4 linked regions of the Caenorhabditis elegans genome follow. The protein of the gene in region 3 purifies or fractionates together with the protein of the main gene of each other region. This does not show direct contact. Each region holds a gene or a part of one and is shown on either strand. Other genes may lie near its edges.

Region 1 (5,240 bases), on a different chromosome or scaffold from region 3:
CACAATATCCAACGATTGGAAGAATCAGAATAAAATAGCATTCTGATTGACTCGATGTGACTGGAAGTTTGAAAAAAAGTTAGAATATATTCAATTCAACCAACTTCCTGTGAAATATTCAATGAGGAATGGAAATTGCCCACTAATATGAAATGCATCAATTAGGCATGTTAGTGATATTAAAAAATAACAAGGAGAATGAAGTCTTCTGAAAATTAAATTATTTTATAGTGCCGGTATTTAATATGCCCAGTAATTATTAAATTCCACACTTACTTTGTAACAGAGCAGCATATTATCATAATTAAATTTCCAATCACTCCAATAGTTGAACAAAAAATAAAGAAGATCGCAAGTGGAAGTAAATTAAGATCCAAATGATCGAACATTTTAATAGAATCAATGAATGAAACAAGGAACAGAATACAGAAATCTGAAAACTTTTCCGTTTTTTCACAGGATTGTGTCGTGCAAAATGCAACTTTTTCTACCAAAAGAGAAGATCAGAGTACGTGAGTTTATTCATAAAATCCAATCATTGGACCAACTAGGGAAAGTGAACCCTGCAGACAAACATTCAATAACAAAATCAAATAATTATTTACGTAACATAACGATCAAAAGTTTCTCCTCGAATTCGAATTTTCCAGACTTTGAAACACAGAAATCACGAATAGTACGTTCATCACATTTTGGGGTGTTCTTGACGGCTGGGAAGCAACCGGAATACAAAATATTCTCCCATTGAACCTTGTCGACAGAAATTGGAACGGCTGCAGAGAAGCATGTAGAATTGAGTTGAGCCTGAAATTGGTTTTTTTTTTTGGAATACTTTCCCAAATTCCTATTAAAAAAAAAGGTTCAACTGGGAATTCATGACAGCTGACTGAGAGTTAATTAACAATTTCTGGCAAAGGTTTATGCTGACTAATATTATTAAATTATTTTTGACTTTTTGATTTTTAATGAAATTTTGGTTACATTCAAGCATATTTAGAAATCATACAATGTTGGTTTATTGATGATTATGATCTGAAATGGACTGGCATAGGTTTTGACGGAAGTGTTTTAAAATCAAATTTCCTCGTAATTCCTGGAATTTTATATTCTTACTGACTAAGTACTCCATCTGTGTTTTAATTGAGATCACGAGATGCTTCAAAAACATTTCGATCATACTCAGTAATCTAGTCTGATGACTGATCTTCCCATGATCCGTGGGAATCCAAGTCTAAGTAGTCAAAAAAGTCAGCTGAATAATCACTTACGGCGTTTGCTGATGCAAGCAATTCCTCTTTAGTAGCTGCAAGTTTTCTCCAAAGCATGAGACATATATCGGGAACTGGCAATGGTGGATTCTTGGGGCGAGAAAAGAGAACTATTTGACCTCCATCTAAAAGTTAATAACAATTTTCTTCAAGTATCGTCCGAATTCGATCAACCTTTAAGAAGAGTTTTCAGCTTTTTGAACAATCCATCAATATCTCCAATATCGTGTGAAATCTCGTTGAAAATAATGAGATCAAAGGGACCACTCTGAAAATAAATTGTATTTTAGGCGGAAGTTTTTATTTTTGAGAAAGATATAAGTAGAACTAGTTCGGCAACAAGTTGTTCGGAGGCGTGAGAAACTCTGTAGCATGAACTCGTGAATAATATTTTTTAATTGTTCAACACTTACAAAATGATCAGACGGATTCGTTGAAAGTAATTTCTAAAATCTACAAAGGGAGAGGAATAATTGTTGACTTTCGAAAATACCAACTTCTTTTTTAATATGTAGAACTCTAACACATCATTGTTTCAATGATTGATTCGTGAATTGTAATAAAAATTAAAGATTAATATAAAAATTAATAAAAAAAACACATGAATTTTTTAAAAAAGAAATTGCTATAATTTTTTTTAAATTTTTCCAAGGATAGGTGGCACAAAATATTTCTTGGATTGACAATACCTTTAGAAATTTATTACTAAACATATGTTGAAATACATAAGTATTTACACAAAACTGTTTTTTTTAATGAACGGTATCTTTAATTGCTGTTATCAATTCATTCACAGTTTTAAACATTCTATCATTTTTGAAAAACATCTAAAACTTTCGATCAATCGTTTTGTAGATAATAGAGTTTTTCAAAAGTTTTTGACAATTGTAAACAATGTTTGTCAACTTTAAGATATATTTTGAAGTAGTGTCAAAAGCCAACGGAGTACGTAATTCAAGTGATTTTTGGTCAAACGTCTCTGTCTCCTTTACCCCGGTATCTTCTAATTTAACGAGTGTTTCATGCGGGCTTTTTTCATCTTCAACTCTAGACCGTGTAATTCAATCCGCCATCTTATTCGTCGCCTCAAAAAACGAAAAGGCTCTGAGTAAACTTCAAAAATCTTCTGATCGAAGGTTCACGACACAATTATCTTGTCACCACGGGTCTTTTTCGCTGTTTTGGCGGCTCCAGAGAAGAAAAAATGAGCATGTGTTGTTACATAACAGATGGCAACTCACACATCTGCACGCACACACTTACACCAATCAACCCAGATCTTTCGATATTCTATCAATTATTTGATAGGTCACATTAACTTGATTTTTATGTGATTGGTTCTTTGAGATTCAATAACTAAAAAGAACGCTTCCGAACACACCTGGGCGATTGAATCGGCATTTCTCAGGATGCTCCCTTTGTGATATTGGACATTGACAGGAAAATCGAAAGTTGGTCTTACACTCGATGTCATAATTGTTAGCCTGAAAACAAACCTATATTCTAATTCCATTCTTTTATTGCCCATGCTTACTTGTTGGTTGGGTGATTTTCAGCCAAAGTCAAAGCAAATAAACAAGCTTCCTCTGAGACGTCCAAGATTGAAAGACCATCGGATTTTCCCATCTGAAAAAGTAGACTTATTTTTGGGTTAAAAATTTACGTGTGTTAGAAATTGCATTTGAACCATTTTATTCGAGAATAAAACTTTGTAAAACTTTTAGTTCTATCTAGGCCCCAAAGCACTAGTGGCTCTAGACGCCAAGGCATCGAAGATCCAATAGAAACCTGTGACTTCTAGCGAAAAATTACTATTTTATGATTACTTCTTTTTGTGAGTATTTCATAAAAGTAACAAAAAATACTATACATAATACCTTTAAAAATCTATTGTATAAAGAAAAAATTAAAGTCTAAAAAAACCGTGACATGGTATGTTTATTTGGATAATACGTTGTAAGATTTAGTATCAAGTTTAAAATCAAACTTACTTTATCCATAATCAACTTCCAGAAATCTCCGTGATGCTGAACTTCAAATTTCTTGATAGCTTCATACTGTTCTTTTCCAAACTTTACTCTCTGTAACAATTGCATATTTTTACAATTACGGAATCAGATTTGTGTAATTCTTGTGTATTCACTATATAAGTTTAGATAAAAGTATTTGAAAATTGAAAAAAAAACTGACCACCATCTTGAAGCGTTGATTGTTGTACACCTGGACAAACGGCGAGAAATATCTTCTTCTCTAGGCTCTGGTGGAAAGAAATGAGGAAACAACACAAGTGGGGGAGTGAAAATGAGGATGAGAAGAAGCGGAAAAGATGGATGAGCAACAAGTGGAGTAGCGCGGCGAAAGAAGTTTGCACACTGTTAAATTTCGATCTGGGAAACGACTTTCTGGTGAACACGTGTAGGTGGTGACAGCGTGTTGTGGGAAATCAATGATCTTGAGATTTATTGGTTAAATATCGGAATTATGAATATCTTGAAAAGTAATTAAAGACATTTAGAATTCAGTAGGAGTTTTAAAAAAATTATTCAAACTTTGAATCAAACAGTTTTTCTTGAATCAGCTGGACAAAATATGGGAAGATTTGTGCCTTCGAGATTTTTTACTCCGAGCTCTCTTTAAACCCCATCAATATGACTTTTTTGTGTATACTGGGAATCCTTTGCAGATCAATCGCTGAAAAAAGTGGTTACATGCGTTTGAAAATTTCAATTTGTCAATCTGAAAAAATGTGTTATTTAATAATTGTTTTCATAATTGCCAAATGTGCTATGTTATAGCGACTATACAAGTTTAAAAATTGATGCATCGTCAATGTGTGTTTTGAATAATAAAATAAATAAAAAGTACTTAAACAAAACTTGAACACATTCAAATGTTGATTGAATATTATGATTATCATCAATTCCGTACTCATAGCTGTTTTTATATCGTGTAAGCTTTTAAAGCAGAAACTTATGCGAATTTCACTTTTATAGACTGTTCTATTGTGTATGCATATCGTTTTCGAAATGGTAGATTGTGTCCAAAAGCGGCAATGGACCTCCGAAATCATGCACTCCGCCAACGGATCCAAATAATCTTCCTGCTTCAAAACTAGAATGCTGGTTCACGAGAGAAATGTTTGAAGACCTGTTCCCATTTGCCAATCTTGGATGGGGTCCTTCGAGTTGCTGGCCATATTCTTACGATGTTTTCAAAATTGCATCCAGATACTTTCCAGAATTTGGAACTTCGATCAATGTCAACAATACTGTATGTAAATATTTTTTCTTCAAAATTCAAGTATTGCCACATTTCGAGATTATTTCATATTTTTGCAGATGTATATACTGCATGAAAATAAGAAACGAGATTTGACGGCTTTCTTTGCCCATGCTATTCAAGAAACTTCAAAATTGATGAATTTCAGACATCAGTCCGATCAAGATGCATCAAACTGTTTCTACCGTGGAGGATTTTATAACTGGTTTGAAAGAGGACCAACAAGTAGCTTTTTGGACCCTAAAACTCCTGGTTATACTCCAGCCGACGGAAACTCATGTGCATCTTCTGGTCTTTATTGTTCTGCTTCTGATCAAATAACTTATTTCTATCCATGCTCAAATTCAACAATTTCAAACACTGTTGCTTCCCATAGAGGATGCTATTTTGGACGCGGAACAATTCAAATTTCGTACAACTACAACTACGGACAATTCCAGGATTCCAGAACATTGAAAAAAAAAACTAATAATTCTTCTGCATTTCACACTTACTTTATTGTCATCATGAGTGTCCGGAAGATCTGAACCTGGTGCTCCAGTCGCGTAGGTACTCATATTCATTTGATCAATATGATCACCACCAGTAGCAGACATTCGACCAGAAGCGTTTTTTAACAAATGTTTTTACAAATTGCTGCAAACTGTAAGGATTGACCTGAAATCTTTGCCAGTGATCACATTCAAACACAAA
Region 2 (6,426 bases), on a different chromosome or scaffold from region 3:
TTGAATTTATGTTGATCAAAAATATCAATAATATATAGTACAAAAAATCGGTTCAAAACAACAAGTCTCTTTCCCGGAAATTTCACTTTATTTTCAATGTTCCAATTTCAGTGGCGGCAAAGAAGACCAAAAGTGATGGTGTCAAATCTACGAAATTCGAATTTGTATTTGAAAATATCGCCGAAGAACTCATGTTTCCCTCTGAAAACGAGCTGAACACAATTAGTGATGTTGGTTCGGAATGTGACCTGGACATTGATGATGATTTACCTAATGTACCGGAAGAGCACCCAGGACTAGAAGTTGCATCTATTTCTCAAGTTGTTTCAAGTCCAGATCCTACCATATTCGCCACTGCTGAATCTGGGTTACCTCGAAGGCATGAACATCGATTTCAGATTTTGAGAAGAACACTGAATAAGGTATCTTCCGCTGACGGGCATTCTTCCGGAAATAGGTAGTTAATTTCAATGTTTTTCGAATAATTGCGAAGCATAGCATTTAACATTCAATGTAAATAAAAACATTTTTCATTTATTAGTAGTACATGGGACAACATATTCAATTTATACATGGAAATTATCATTAAGTACATTTCAAAAAGTCTGGAATGTTTTGCAACTGGAGAACCTGCTTTGAGTTCATATCGTAGTCGGAGACCTAAATTTCTCCATTGTCTAAATTTAAAGTTTAAAACGGTTACCGTAGCCTCATCAAACATATAATATGCATCAGTGAACCCTTGAGTCTTTTCAATTCCACTTTTGATATCTTCTGGCAAATTTGGGAAATATCGATTTTTGTCGTTCAAGAATGATGGAGCATTCTGTTGCACATTGTAGGTAGCAAACACGTTACCCTGTAAGTAGACGGATGTTATTGAGTTTTTGATAAGTAGCCTCAATGAGCAATAATTATTACAATCTTAAAGAAAAAATACTTTTTTTTGTGGTTGTATAACCTGAAAACTAAAACGAAATAAAAAAACATACCGACAAAAGAATGACACTCCCATTATTCAGTGGGAATGCTCCCTGTGGGTAGAAGAGAACACGATCGTGAAGTTCTTTTGGATAATTTGGAGCTTCCCTGAAAATACTTCACAAGTTTAGAAAAAAAAGTTTTGTATATTAAGAGCCGCGAAAATAGTGAGATATGTATACAAACCGTATCCTTTTTAATTTTAGATCGACTTTTTTTTACATATCAGAATGCTCCGGTACCTCTTAATTTCACGTAGAAACCTATTTAAAAGGTCATTTTTCAAATTAAATATGTTTCCTTTTAAAATGCACAGGTTTTTCATGAATAAATTGACAATAAAAAGTGTACTTACGTAAACTGCACTCCATCGTATTCATATCCATAAATAGTTCGTTCCACGAACAAAAGAGTCAATGGTCCAGATGACACAGTGGCGTTGACAAATTGTGGGCCACGTGGGAACACTTGTTGAATTGGGCGACCCGAGTCAACGAACTTTCGATTGTTGAGTTTGTACACTTTGTTGGAACGGAAGAAGAGCCATTCTTGGTCGTTTACTGAAACATTCACACTGTTTCACAGAATTTCATTTCAATATTCACTCGAAAACAAATAAAAAAATAAAACACACTAGCAACAACAGAGTCAAGATGCTTTGGGCATTTTGAACGATCAACATCTGACGACGGAGTTGAATGATCGACGGATGAAAGTCCTGAAATATGAGAAAAGATTGTTGATTTCTCAGGGTACATCTGGGTGCACATCACATGCTTCCGGTCAAAGATATTTGAAATATTTTACAAAGTATTCAAAATTCAGTGTATTTTCATTTAAAAAAATGTATTATGTTGTAATTTTTCAATATGTGATTTTAAAAAAAATTATTCGCAGCAGGAGCACATGTGGAGCACAGATGTTTAGAGATTTTTAAAGCGCCTTAAGCACCTTAATCCCCGAAAACTAGAAATAGCTGGGCAATATTTGAATTACCACGTGGTTACTTTAAAAATTTTGGAAGTCATTTTTTTAGTTTTATTGTTTATTACTTCAGAAGTTTGAATTTAAAAATCTTGAACCCTATCAACAAACCTTCATTTCCAACTGAATTATCTTCAGCAGTATCCGTATCAACCTCAATACCCGGTGGACCGGCTATAGCACAGAGAACATATGAAAAAATAAGAAGAACAGAAGATAAATTGAAGTTCATTTCAAGCTCCTAAGACTGAGAGCAAAAGTCTTGGCAAATTGAAATGAAAGTGAAAAGAGAAGGAATAAAGGGAAGAGTTGAGATGTGCAGCTGTTCTTCACAAGATGGTCACAAAAAACCGCAAAATTTCGGCGGCGGTTGACGTAGGAAAGATTGGACAAAACACTTTATTTTAAAAATTTTTCAAAGAACTAGGCAATAAGGATTTGAATCTATATTTTACAAAAAGTTGGTCACTAGAACCCATTACACTTTTTAGTAGATCTTGTCGGATATAATATATTGTGACTCAATAACCAGATGATATGATGACTCACCATAAATCTTTCGAATCGCTAGACGATCAACATTTGGAACTGTGTCAACTGTACCGTGGGGGAGGAGGACTGGCTTGAAAATTGGGTGCATGATAGATCTGAAAAATTTTTCTTTTTGTAAACTAAACTTTATTTTACTAAATTATTATTAAACTAAACTTTTTTATTTTATATTAAACTATTTATATTAAACTTTTTTATATTAAACTTTTATATTGTTTATATTAAACTAAACTAAGCTTCGCATTGAATTTCTAAAATTAAATTCAAGATGTTGTTAAGTTATAAATTGTTTAGGTGCTTTTTTTTCACAATTTACGAAGCTTGTAGAATTTCTTTGTAGAGTTTGTATATTTTTAGGGTATTTGGGAGTAGGTAAACATTTGGGCTTATTTTGAAAATTTCTATGCAACAAAAATCATATCAGATTTGCTACAAAAATTTAAATGTCTGTCATTATAACCACTTACCCTCTATAAAAAGTGTGTGGCAAACCCAAAATGTGTCCAATTTCGTGAAGAAGCGTATGATAAAGAGAGATTCCCATTGGGGCTTGTGACTTGTATGCCCATTCCTGATTTTTATCAAGAATGATATGACTGTTCACTGGTTTTGATGCACTTCCAGCAACTGAAATTACAGTATAAAATATATAGAATTATATAAGGAAAATCTACTTCTCAAATTGCTTTGTGGGACATCGTAGAAGGTGATTGTTATATCTGGGGTTGCTCCAGTTGTTTCCACAAATTTGAAACCACTGGCTCTGGTCCATTGTTCAAATGCTTCATGGGCGGCAGATCTGAAATATTTTTAGGATTTGTTTTTTCAAATTTTTAGCTAACCTTATTTGTGCTTGAGAAAGAGTATTTGGAGTGTTTACCACTTTGTAGGTCAGTGATTTCTTCGTCCATAACTCTTTTTTCGAAGCTGCTGAAATTAAGCTGTGAATTAAAAAGAACTAGAGGAGCCCTCGTAGAGTATAGAATTCAAATAAAATGTTTTGTAGCCGACACCTTCTAGGTGCTACCTCCATCAGATTTTGACACTATAAGAAATGCGGAACCATCGAGGCGTCTCGCGCTTCATTGAATTTACCTACTAAAATATTTTAAATCTGTTATTCTCACGTGGAATTGGTTGTCCCTTATCCATATCATTATTAGCACATCTCCATTCGTTCATTTTTGCTTGAGTTGGAACATCAACATCTCCTGATGAATAATAGAGGAATGCAGATTGGAAGCGACTAAACAACTTTTTCAAAAAAGTTACATTTACAATTAGTACTTACATAAGAGCATCTTTTGTCTGTTTTTCACTTGGCTCTTGAATTGTTTTTACATTTTGGTGTGGTTCAGGAATCATGTAACCGAATTTGAAGAGATATACCTGAAAATCTCTCAGTTACAAACTTCATTCAGTCATTTTTTAAGAAACTTTCTTCAGAAGAGTTTCTATAATTAAACTGTTTGTATGTATTGTGAAACTGATGAAAACAAAAAATTTTCAACATCACACTGACAAAGTAGCTGTTGAATAATTTATTCAAAACTTTTTTCTAAAATTTCAATTTCAATGTTTAATTTCAATGTATTTCGTTGCAGTTGAATTCTCCTTTTTTTTAATTTTCTATTTAATTTTATTTCTCTTTTGGAGGCATTTTCCGGGCGAACGAAGGATGAGAGAAAAAATAAAAGCGAAAGGCAGAATCACTTCCTCACTTTTAAAACTGCTCAAACTGCTACATACCTTGGCTTCATCCATGAGCTCTTTCTGAAAATTTGGCTGACGAATATCTCCATTTGTGCCTGGAATTCCAGCAGAAACCACTCCAATAATACCCAATAAAAACAAAGGCCACATTGAATGACCTGAACTTAGAAAAATAATCATAAAAAACAAAAGGAAGAAAAAATAGGTAAAAACAACGGAAAAGTGTCGCATGTGAACAGGTTTTTCCAACTTAAAATAAATTGATCTTTTCATTCAAAGTAAATAGAAAAATCGAAGAGGTAATCGAAACAAAAACAGTTGGAAAAACTATCAAATGATGAAGAAAATAAGAAAATTGGATTCGATCTTTTTTCTCTTGGTCATCTCGCCGAACTTGGTAAGATTGTGATATGGGTTAGAACAGAAAAAAGGAAGGGGAAAAATGACAAAATGATTGAGTGAGTGATATCATTTCTGTTAATCATATAGATCGAAGATCACTAAATTTTAAAATGGGAGACTTAATACAAATAATATTAGTTTTCTGCATAATTGGATGCTGTTCTGCTGTCGTAACCTTTTGATTTTTCAATTCTCAGAATTCTTCGCATGTTCGAGTCAAATGCCAGAAGGATGTACGGCATGGCTAGAGTTACCTGAAAAAAAAAGAACTCCAACAAGCGAACTTAATAAAGAAAGTTCAAGACTTATTCTTTGACATTCTCCTTGTTTTTCTGTTCTGGCGGTGGAAAATATTTTAAAATTTTTGAAATCTTAAACCTAAGCAAGCTTCAACTGAATACACACAATATCCAGATTCAACTTCCCGCTTGAATCGACCAATCAGCTGGAGAGGGTCGAATTTACTTTGCGGGCAGATTAAATTGATGTTGGTATAACCTACCATATCCGATGTAAATGTTACAGCAATTGTTTGTATTTTCATAATAACTGTTCGAAAAGGGCAAATAACGTACATCACACTGGTGGCAATCTGAAAACCAACTAAAAATATTTTAAACCTGAAATCTGTTGAATACCAAAAGCAATAAATTTCCAGACATCAAAAAACTGTTACAAAATATGACACGTGTTAATTTTTTAATAAAGTGATTATGTCTTCTCGAATGACTCTTTTTCCATCTGTTCTCTAAGAGTACAGTAGTCCAAACACCAATTAATATAATTAAAAGAAAATAAAATGCAGAGAAATATGGATTTATAGATGCTTGAGTTAAAAGTGCTCTCTGAAATTACCAGATATTAGGAAATGTTATTTTATTCACTGAAAAAAACCTGATTAACTATTTTAATAAGTTTCCCATCAATAATTCTAACTCTAGTAACATAATTTTGAAAAAGCCACCATGGGGAAATAATAATAAAAGAATATAACAGTCCGAGAACTGGAACTAAAAAATACCAGCGATTCCATACCTGAAAATTAATCGCAAAATATTATTAGAGTATAAAGTATTAGAGTAGAATTTCCAGTCTGCATACCTTTTCAGAATTTATTGAGTAAACTGATGTGAAGCGATAAATAACTAGAAATAATCCCGTAACATTTTGCAAGTGGAAGTATCTGAAAATGAATAATAATAATATTTTTTTAAAATATGATATATATCTTACAATGAAACAAAAAGCTTTGACAGTGTGAGGCATCCTGGAAGAGAAGATTCTAGAAAAATAAGGAAAGTTCGTCCGATTTCGAAGTATTCCAAGCGGATAGCTAACCAACTATTGATGTAACATGTAATATTCTGGAAGTTTATCGTTTGAATAAAGTCTGAAACTATTGGAAACATTATTTCCTAAATTGGAGTTTTTCAAAAAAACGAAACCTGATAGTGGCATTATTTAAATTTATAGATTAAAAAGTGCCAAAAAAACTATAATAATTTTGCTAATCGACCTAAATTTCGTGTTTTTCCTGAATTTTATACATATTTGTTTTTTTAAATTGTATAGCTTTAAACACGCAAAACAATATTTTAAAGAAAGGAACCGAAATTTTTCAAATTTGGCACTTGAAATTAAATTACCAATTTCTTGCGAGGGATTTTTATTTTAAAAATTTCAGTGTAGTTATTCATTTGTCAATACCAGAGTAAGTTTGGAAACATGTACTACATTTTTCAGTATCTTCTCTAGCCACTTTCCCCAAACACACTTCAATATTGTGGTTCTAGA
Region 3 (3,129 bases):
TTTACAGTCATTACGAGTAAGGCTTTCGATAAATTATTTTTGAATTAAACAGATATCTTGACTCGCTTGGCATTTGGCTCCGGTTTCTTGCTCAGGCGCGGCTCAAAAAATATTTTTTGGCACGTTATCCCAGAGTTCAGCTTTTGCCCAAGTTTGGCCAACTTCTGATTCGCGTTAATAATTTCTGGGCCAAACTAGGGCGAGAAACTGGAGCCAAATGACGAGCGCCTCTATTTTTTGCGACACTTGTGCTCTATAATTTCTCAATTTATTGAATCTCAAATATGTTTTGAAACCGCAAAAATATAGTTACTGCTTCTAAGAGCAAAATACAATGGCTTCATTCAGCGGCTTTTCGTAAGCTTCCAGTTTTTACTGCCAAGTCTTTACTGAAAAGTCAGCAAAAAGAATTAAACCATTGTATGTTATGCTCTTTCCCTTCTAACAATCCAACCAACAAACAATCCCGAGTTTTCCCGAGCCACTATAAAAATTTAAAGTTTCTCGGAAACTTTTTATTTTACCCAAACATCTGGAGGATCATTCATCAAAATTACTTGTTTGTCATGATTTTATCTGAATTTTTATGCTCAAGCACATCTGGTGTCAGAGACAAATTAAAGGTTGTATGTTCAAAAATAATACTATATGTTGTAAAGCATTAGAAAAGTAGTGGAAAGTGAAGGGTTTTCAGAATATTTTAAGGGTGTGGGGGATGAACAATGTACATGGTATAGAGCAAGGAAAATTTAAAAGTCAATAATTCCGAAGAGATGATTTCCAACGTCAGATTTATTTGTTGAGTAGAACAACTGATGGAAGTATGTGTTCCAGGTCTCTGGCTTCATTTGTGGAACGTATTGACCTTTCTTGTCCTGAAATAATTCCTTTTAAATTAATCAAAAAAATATTTAAATCCCACCACTGAAAACTTATGGAAAGCTGCATCACACTCGGATTGATCAAATCCATATGTACTCATTCCATCGGTATACTCGGCAAGATCCATGACTCCATCACAGGAAACATCAAAAAGTTTGAACATAAAGTTCTGATAGTCCTTGAACCATTTTGGTTCAGTCTTCGCATCGGTCTTCTTCAAAAGTCCGATCCATTCATCAATCGAGATCAATTGATCCTTATCAGCATCAGCAATGGAGCACAGTCCTTCCCAGAGAGCAGCAAGAGATTTCTTGGCAAAGCCAGTTTGAACTGATTCAGCTCCGTAAATGTCACGGACTTTCTGGAAGGTTAAAAGAAAATAATAGAATTTAGAATTCTAAAAATAATTCTCACCTTGACAACCAAGTAAAAATCTCCCCAATCGACTTGATGAGAAGCATTTCTATCTGAAACATATAATTGAAAGTAAAAAAGAGTGGGAAAACTAACCAAAAAATAGTGAGAAAATGCGTTCCCACTTCTTGACAAGGAACGGATCAACATCGGAATGTTTCTTGATAAGATCTTCAATGGAAACTGCTGCTGTAGGCTTTGCAACAACCATTTCTGAAAGTATAAGATTTGACTGAAAATTATAAAATTATGAACTTGAGAAAGTCTAGAAATCAAGAAAAAATATCTAGAAATGAACATTCCATGGGTTGTGAAGATGCTTTTATCTCACTTTAGAATGTCTGACTCCGCCCCTCTGTGTACGAATTGAAGTGCTCTTTTGTGATGATCATAGCTCCTCCTTGCGGCGACGCCCGCACACAGCACGAGATATTACACGGAATACTTATGTGATTCATAGGAAACAAGGAAATCGAAAAAATAATAGGATTTTGAGGAGGTATTTTTAGATGAATGCTTATGATGTTATGATGAACCCAAGAAATTCTGAATAGACATATGTCAGAACGGGGTAGGAGCTCCAGTGTCGCTTTTGAAATAAAAAATCAAGTGGTATACTTCTCGTATATACCCTTCTGAACTAATAAAATAATTTATCTTTTGAAAAAGTTTGAAAAAGAAAAATGCCCAAAACTTGAATTTTAATGTTTTGTATTTTGAGCATATCGTTCAAACGTCGTGATCTGAAAGTAGAAAGATCTAAATATTCGTGACACAGTTTGGTTTGAAGGTCTTAGTGGTAATTTTTTATTACAGAAGCAACAAAAAGTTGACATATTTTCAGAATTTCCAAAAAAACGTTTAAAATTTCAATTTCTTCGATAGAGTTCTAAAAATTTTTTGGAACGGATTTTGTAATATCCGCTGATAACCGTTCAAGAACAATTTGAATTTTGAAATAATTTAATCAACTAGTATCCAGTGCTCTTTCTCACTGCTCCACCCATTTTTCAACCCATTTCCTTTACTCAATTTCGCCCGTTTTCCTTTTGCTCAAATGTGCCCACCAAATCATCTTTCTTCGTCTTCTTTTCTCTTATTCGGAAGGAGAAGAGGTGAAAGTAGAATACGTTTTTTTGTTGAAAAGAGAAGAGCACTGCCACTTTTCTCTTATTTCCATCCTTCTACTACCTCGTTTTACTTTCCATTTAAAAACCCGTTTAAAGTTCCAAAATTTCAATTATCTTGCTTCTGTTTGGAACACGACAAACTTTAGTTTTGTTACAGATATGTTCCGAATATCAGTTATATTTATTTGGATATTTTTACAATTGGGATACACAATAGACTATAAAGTATCAGTTTTAATTGTTTCTGAGCCGAATCAAGAAACTTTCAAAGAATTGAAAGTTTCCGTTACGGTAAGTTTTGAAATTTTTACTTTAAAAACTTACAAACTCGGCATTATAGAAGAAGCTCCAAACTTTTAAATTAGCATATTCATATTCACAAAATATCATATTTTCAACTTTTCTTCTTAATTTCTTTCAGGCGGCATTCGTGGAAGTTTTTGGAAGCACATCATATCACTTGGGGAATGACACTATTTCCGCAGCTTTTGTAGATGCAAAAAGGTTTTCGAAATTATTATTTGTTGAGCTTTTCCCCCGAGAAAGACATTTCTTATATTCAGTGGAGATAATCGTCTGGAATTGACTCAGGATATTGTGTGCAGCCAGATGCTCAATCACTCATTGGCTTCTGTTATATTTTCTCCATTACTGACATCATCTTCAAGATTTATTGATTTGGTTACATCATCAGCATATACAC
Region 4 (4,676 bases), on a different chromosome or scaffold from region 3:
TTTAACAGATAATACTCTTTTTTTTATCTTCAGACTCTTTTTTTTTTTGAAAATGTATTTTTACAGTGTGGAGTTATTATACACAAGTTCTGTTTTTTTTGCTCACGCTCAAAACATGAACAAATTATTTTTGTTATTTTTGGAGTTTTCAAAATTGCATTTTCCGTTTAAAAATCAAATCCCAAAACGTTAGTGTTACTTACCATGTTTCACAATTCAAGAGAAACCAATGAATCAACGAAAATAAAAAGCGAGTGATTCAAACAACTGCAGAGCGATGGCCACTAAATACAAACACCTTGATAAGGCAGTGGGCAGAACAAGTAATCGAGTCAGTATCAGATATTAGGAGACGCACAGAAAACATGCACGGGGGGCATTTGCCGGGTCTGCCTTATTGATCGCGTCCTCTGATTTGTTCGATGTTGCGTCGCTCTCGTGCATCTAAACATCTAAACTAACCACGTGCATTTATCGCGAGACCATGGTCTTTTTACAAATCAGGGCTAATTGTGTCCTTGGTCATTGTTTATTTCGGTGGAAAGTGACAATAAAAAGAAAATACAAATTGAAAAGATTAGATTAAAAAAAGGTATGAAGAGGACTTCAAGTTCCAGAACGTCACAACAAATTTTAAAGAGTAAAAAGTCAAACCAAAAAGCACATTATAAATAGTTCATTCGCAAATGATGTGGTGGAAGTGGGTGCTTGAAGTTCACTCATCATCGTCATCCTGAAAAGTAGGTTCTGTGAAATACAACACTTACAAATATTTTTAACATATTTTCAATCGATTTTGTGTGAGGCACACTATAGTTGCAGAACAACTTTACATTCGGTGTAAATAATGAAGACAATGTCCATGAAATTTGCTTGTTTCGTAGAGTTTATCGCTCAATGAATTTTTGAAGTTCTTTGAGTCGATAACGTGCTATCGGTGTCTTTTGTAATTTTTGAAATAAACTCTGGTGCATCAGTATCAACCCCACACGCAAAACAAACTGTTTGGCACTATCCACGCTTAGGCCAGAACATCAAAAAACCTGCACAAACTTAGTGTCGCAAAAGGAAAGCTATTTTACCTTTTGTCCAAGACGTCGTCTCTTAGCCTGCTCAAATGTGTTACGGATGAGCATGGCAACAGTCATTGGTCCAACGCCTCCGGGGACAGGTGTGAGGAATCCGGCGACTTCCTTTGCGGCTTCTGTGTCAACATCTCCGTAAATTTTGCGTGAGTTTGGGTCGTCACCAACGTTGATTCCACAGTCGATGACGAATGCGCCAGGCTTGATCCAATCAGCTGAAATATATGCTTTTATTTGTAAAAAACGCTGACACTTATCAGAACAGAGAGTCTGTTTCTATTTGATGCAAAACAATTCAGAAGTTGCAAACAGTCAGGTGCATACTAAACATTGATAGTTCTTAAATTGGGGTTTCTATTATAGATATTTTGCATAATTTAATGACTTACAAACTTTTAGGTTAGCAAGTAAATACCGTGCTGCTCATATAAAGGTCTACTCGTAATAACTTTTGCCAAGATTCTTCTTTTAAATGGATTTGGGCGTAATTATGAAAAAAGCAACGCGAAATTTGTTCAATGATGAATTCCAAAAAATCAGGATATAAAAACTTTCACTATTTTACTATAGTCAGATCTCAGCTCGGAATAACCACGTTTGCTGAAGTTGAAATCAATCTTTTGATATCTGTATGGCCAGTACTGTGCACTATCTCAAATTTAGGTTTATTGATAATCTACCTTTGACGAAATGTTTTCTCCCAATTGCCACAATCAAAATATCTGCTCTCAGGCATTTCTCCTTGAGATTTGGAGTTTTTGAGTGGCAGATTGTCACAGTTCCATGATGCCACAAGAAAAGCGCAGCGGCTGGAGATCCGACAATTTTCGAGCGTCCCAAAACAACCACCTCCTTTCCAGACACAAAGTTGGCATCACCAGTTGCCTGTTGAACCAAGTACAAGCATCCAAACGGAGTGCAAGGAAAGATCGTACGCTGGAGTTCTCCACGAGCCAAACGTCCAGCATTGATACGAGTCAGTCCATCGACATCTTTCAATGGGTCAATCAAGTCGATAACAGAGTCTGCGTCGATTTCGTGCTTGCAGTCCAGTGGAAGCTGAAATTAATAACTTGCTATTATTGTTTAGCTTCCGATGTTTTTTTTTAATTAACTGAGATGTGTTTTTTTTCCGTTATAAGTTAACATTTCAATATTACAACTTAATCCGTTATATTAACCTGAATGATAATTCCGTCAATCTCGTTGTCATGATTAAGAGCCATAATCTCTCGCTTCAAATCTCCTTGAGTGATGGTGTCTGGCAACTTAATGAGTTTTCCATCTGCTCCGATTTCCTTTGCTTTTTTCAGTTTGGAATTAATGTACACATTGGAGTCTGAACGATTTCCAACCTGCAAATTTTGAGACTTTGAGTTATTCAGTATAACAGATATCCCCTCGGATATTATTTGTCTTGTTACGAAATAAAAGCCGGTATCTCAAAAGTACACCACAACTACAAATTACGCTCTGCAAAACTTTCAAAATCTGTTTTGTAAGTATGCAATGCACTTATGTACGTCATGAACTCAAAACACAGATTGGACAGAGATTTTCATTTTCATATATTCAATTTAGAAATATTATTAAGTTAATAGCAATGCTTGAAATAAAATTATTATCAGTGGTAAGCTTTCATACCTGAACAATTGCCAATACTGCATGAAAATTTGGGTGGTGCTCACGGGTTTTTGCGATTTTCTGTCCGACATCGTGAAGAACCTTTTTTGAGTACTCGAGTCCACTGACGATCTCCGCGACCATTCTAAAAAATAAACAAAGTAATAATCAAGTTGAAAAATACGTCAAGAAAACAAGAAGGGGAAGAGTAAAGGAAAAGAGTACGAAACTCCTCTTGTACTTGGCTATTCATGGGAAGAGACTAGTGCAGAAGTCAGAGGACAAGCTGATTGGAAACTTAGCACATATTCACATTTCGATGGTGGGGGACAGAGTGAAAAAATAAAGCGTCGAAAAAGTTGAATATGCATAGCGGTCTGTTGTTTGTGGGGGAGTGATGAGAAGAGTTTTAAAACGGCCTGGCCTTGTTATCTTATGCTGAAGATCGCTATGATTTTATGTGTCGAGTGACTAGAGTTGCTTGTCAGCGACATTCTCATGGAAAATACATGTTCCACCGACAGTTTCGATGTCAAAGCTTCCGCATTAAACATGTTTGCTTGAAAATGAAAACAGTGTATCAAGGAACAAAATTCAATTTTTGTCACATGAAAATAATACTTTTGAAAGTTTTTGCTGCCTTATATGTTAACAATATATCAAAATAATGGACACAGTGCAGAAATGTCCAATACGAACGCGTGGCGGCGGACCATGAAAATCGATAACAGTCGGCGGCTGGCCTTGCATGCAATGCGCGCGCATAACACAGAAATCTTATCGGCATCCATACGACGCAAAATCTCTTTTTACCCAGCAATTTGCCGAGATAAAAACAATAATCATATCAACATTTTGACTACAATGGGACTGGGATCTTATCATGAAAACTTCTTACCTTGCAAATTTGAATGTGAAACTCATTATTTTTCTTATAAACTGGGAAACGTTGATTTTTAAAAAGTGTCTATTTCTATTAACCAGAAATCAAAACATGTTATTCTCAAATGTTTTTTTCAAATGATTTAAAATGAAGAAAACAAGTCTTATCAATAATGTCCTAAAACCTGCACAATCCAAATTATCGGAGCAATTGAACAGTGAAAATAATGAAGTAAATATTAAATATTAACATTTTTCAAAGGCGTACACAAAAATCATTTATTCAAAATCATTCTTCGATTTGAAAAACAACTAAATCACAGTATTTATATAAAATTTGCGAGAGATGGTGAGAAGGGATGGACAATGGGATTTCATATCATACAAAGAACATAAAATAAGATGTAACCGTTTTGGAATGTGCAACAATTATGGATTTGAATACAATTAGTTATCCTTTTTTGTGCCCTCGTCGCCACCATTGATAATCGAATCCAAAGACTCGGCTCCACGAACAAACGATTTTCTATTTCCATAATCTGCTTTTTCCGAGCTATTCTTTACCAGACGTCCAACAGTCAAGTACTTGAATTTGAACTGTGTCTCCCATTCGTTGGCGGTTTCCTGTAAAAATCAATTTAGGTTTTTTTGTTCACAATCAATCTGACCGAGGCAATATACATTTGAATTAGCTTCGATGTCATATTGATGACACAAAAAAGTTATGGTTTATGCCTGAGTTATGAATAAATACCACAAATCATAAAACAATGACTTTAAGGATTAAATGTTTATAACGAACTTTCACGTTCTTACTCATGAGAAAACTGCATAGCCTACCTGCTCGTCAGCAGAGATTCCAGTATGATCATCCCACTCGCTAGAAACAGCATTCTGGTCCATGGTTCCAAGCGCGCGGGTAGCGTCATGCCCGGCAAGTGTACCGTAGGCTTTTCCTGGTCCGTAAAATCCTTTTCCGCGAGTCACGTCATAGATAGTTCCGTTGAGTCCAAACAGAATGTGCTCATTTTTGACACCATCGTACTTGCGCAGCTCTTCAACTGTCATATCGGACATTGGCAATGG

Evidence for each region.
Region 1: the proteins of cex-1 (region 3) and C51E3.9 fractionate together in Caenorhabditis elegans (co-fractionation; one large-scale study listed by BioGRID). This does not show direct contact.
Region 2: the proteins of cex-1 (region 3) and zmp-4 fractionate together in Caenorhabditis elegans (co-fractionation; one large-scale study listed by BioGRID). This does not show direct contact.
Region 4: the proteins of cex-1 (region 3) and dao-3 fractionate together in Caenorhabditis elegans (co-fractionation; one large-scale study listed by BioGRID). This does not show direct contact.

Annotation. Positions count from the first base shown.
Region 1 is NC_003283.11:10,144,242-10,149,481, reverse strand, and holds C51E3.9 (Methyltransf_11 domain-containing protein), read right to left. Parts: upstream 3,530-5,240; 5' UTR 3,465-3,529; coding exon 3,459-3,464; intron 3,350-3,458; coding exon 3,260-3,349; intron 2,895-3,259; coding exon 2,803-2,894; intron 2,753-2,802; coding exon 2,650-2,752; intron 1,537-2,649; coding exon 1,443-1,536; intron 1,394-1,442; coding exon 1,269-1,393; intron 831-1,268; exon of another isoform or gene 805-830; coding exon 598-804; 3' UTR 505-597; downstream 1-504. Other genes in the region: srsx-26 (G-protein coupled receptors family 1 profile domain-containing protein), read right to left, coding at 1-60, 105-208, 277-389.
Region 2 is NC_003283.11:14,917,222-14,923,647, forward strand, and holds zmp-4 (Peptidase metallopeptidase domain-containing protein), read right to left. Parts: upstream 4,389-6,426; 5' UTR 4,381-4,388; coding exon 4,267-4,380; intron 3,907-4,266; coding exon 3,809-3,906; intron 3,764-3,808; coding exon 3,645-3,763; intron 3,448-3,644; coding exon 3,360-3,447; intron 3,317-3,359; coding exon 3,192-3,316; intron 3,145-3,191; coding exon 2,985-3,144; intron 2,613-2,984; coding exon 2,515-2,612; intron 2,282-2,514; exon of another isoform or gene 2,198-2,281; coding exon of another isoform or gene 2,077-2,197; intron 1,700-2,076; coding exon 1,616-1,699; intron 1,542-1,615; coding exon 1,337-1,541; intron 1,090-1,336; coding exon 993-1,089; intron 860-992; coding exon 704-859; intron 661-703; coding exon 586-660; 3' UTR 514-585; downstream 1-513. Other genes in the region: H12D21.11 (uncharacterized protein), read left to right, coding at 112-461; srg-54 (Serpentine receptor class gamma), read right to left, coding at 4,767-4,886, 5,135-5,224, 5,271-5,477, 5,527-5,667, 5,734-5,815, 5,866-5,996.
Region 3 is NC_003280.10:5,446,061-5,449,189, reverse strand, and holds cex-1 (Calexcitin-1), read right to left. Parts: upstream 1,510-3,129; 5' UTR 1,508-1,509; coding exon 1,393-1,507; intron 1,350-1,392; coding exon 1,297-1,349; intron 1,244-1,296; coding exon 923-1,243; intron 876-922; coding exon 750-875; 3' UTR 556-749; downstream 1-555. Other genes in the region: nmr-1 (LITAF domain-containing protein), read left to right, coding at 2,586-2,717, 2,848-2,930, 2,990-3,129.
Region 4 is NC_003284.9:8,083,698-8,088,373, forward strand, and holds dao-3 (C-1-tetrahydrofolate synthase, cytoplasmic), read right to left. Parts: upstream 2,854-4,676; 5' UTR 2,853-2,853; coding exon 2,730-2,852; intron 2,441-2,729; coding exon 2,267-2,440; intron 2,145-2,266; coding exon 1,766-2,144; intron 1,301-1,765; coding exon 1,083-1,300; intron 734-1,082; coding exon 716-733; 3' UTR 513-715; downstream 1-512. Other genes in the region: K07E3.4 (formate--tetrahydrofolate ligase), read right to left, coding at 204-206; Protein vem-1, read right to left, coding at 4,038-4,214, 4,431-4,676.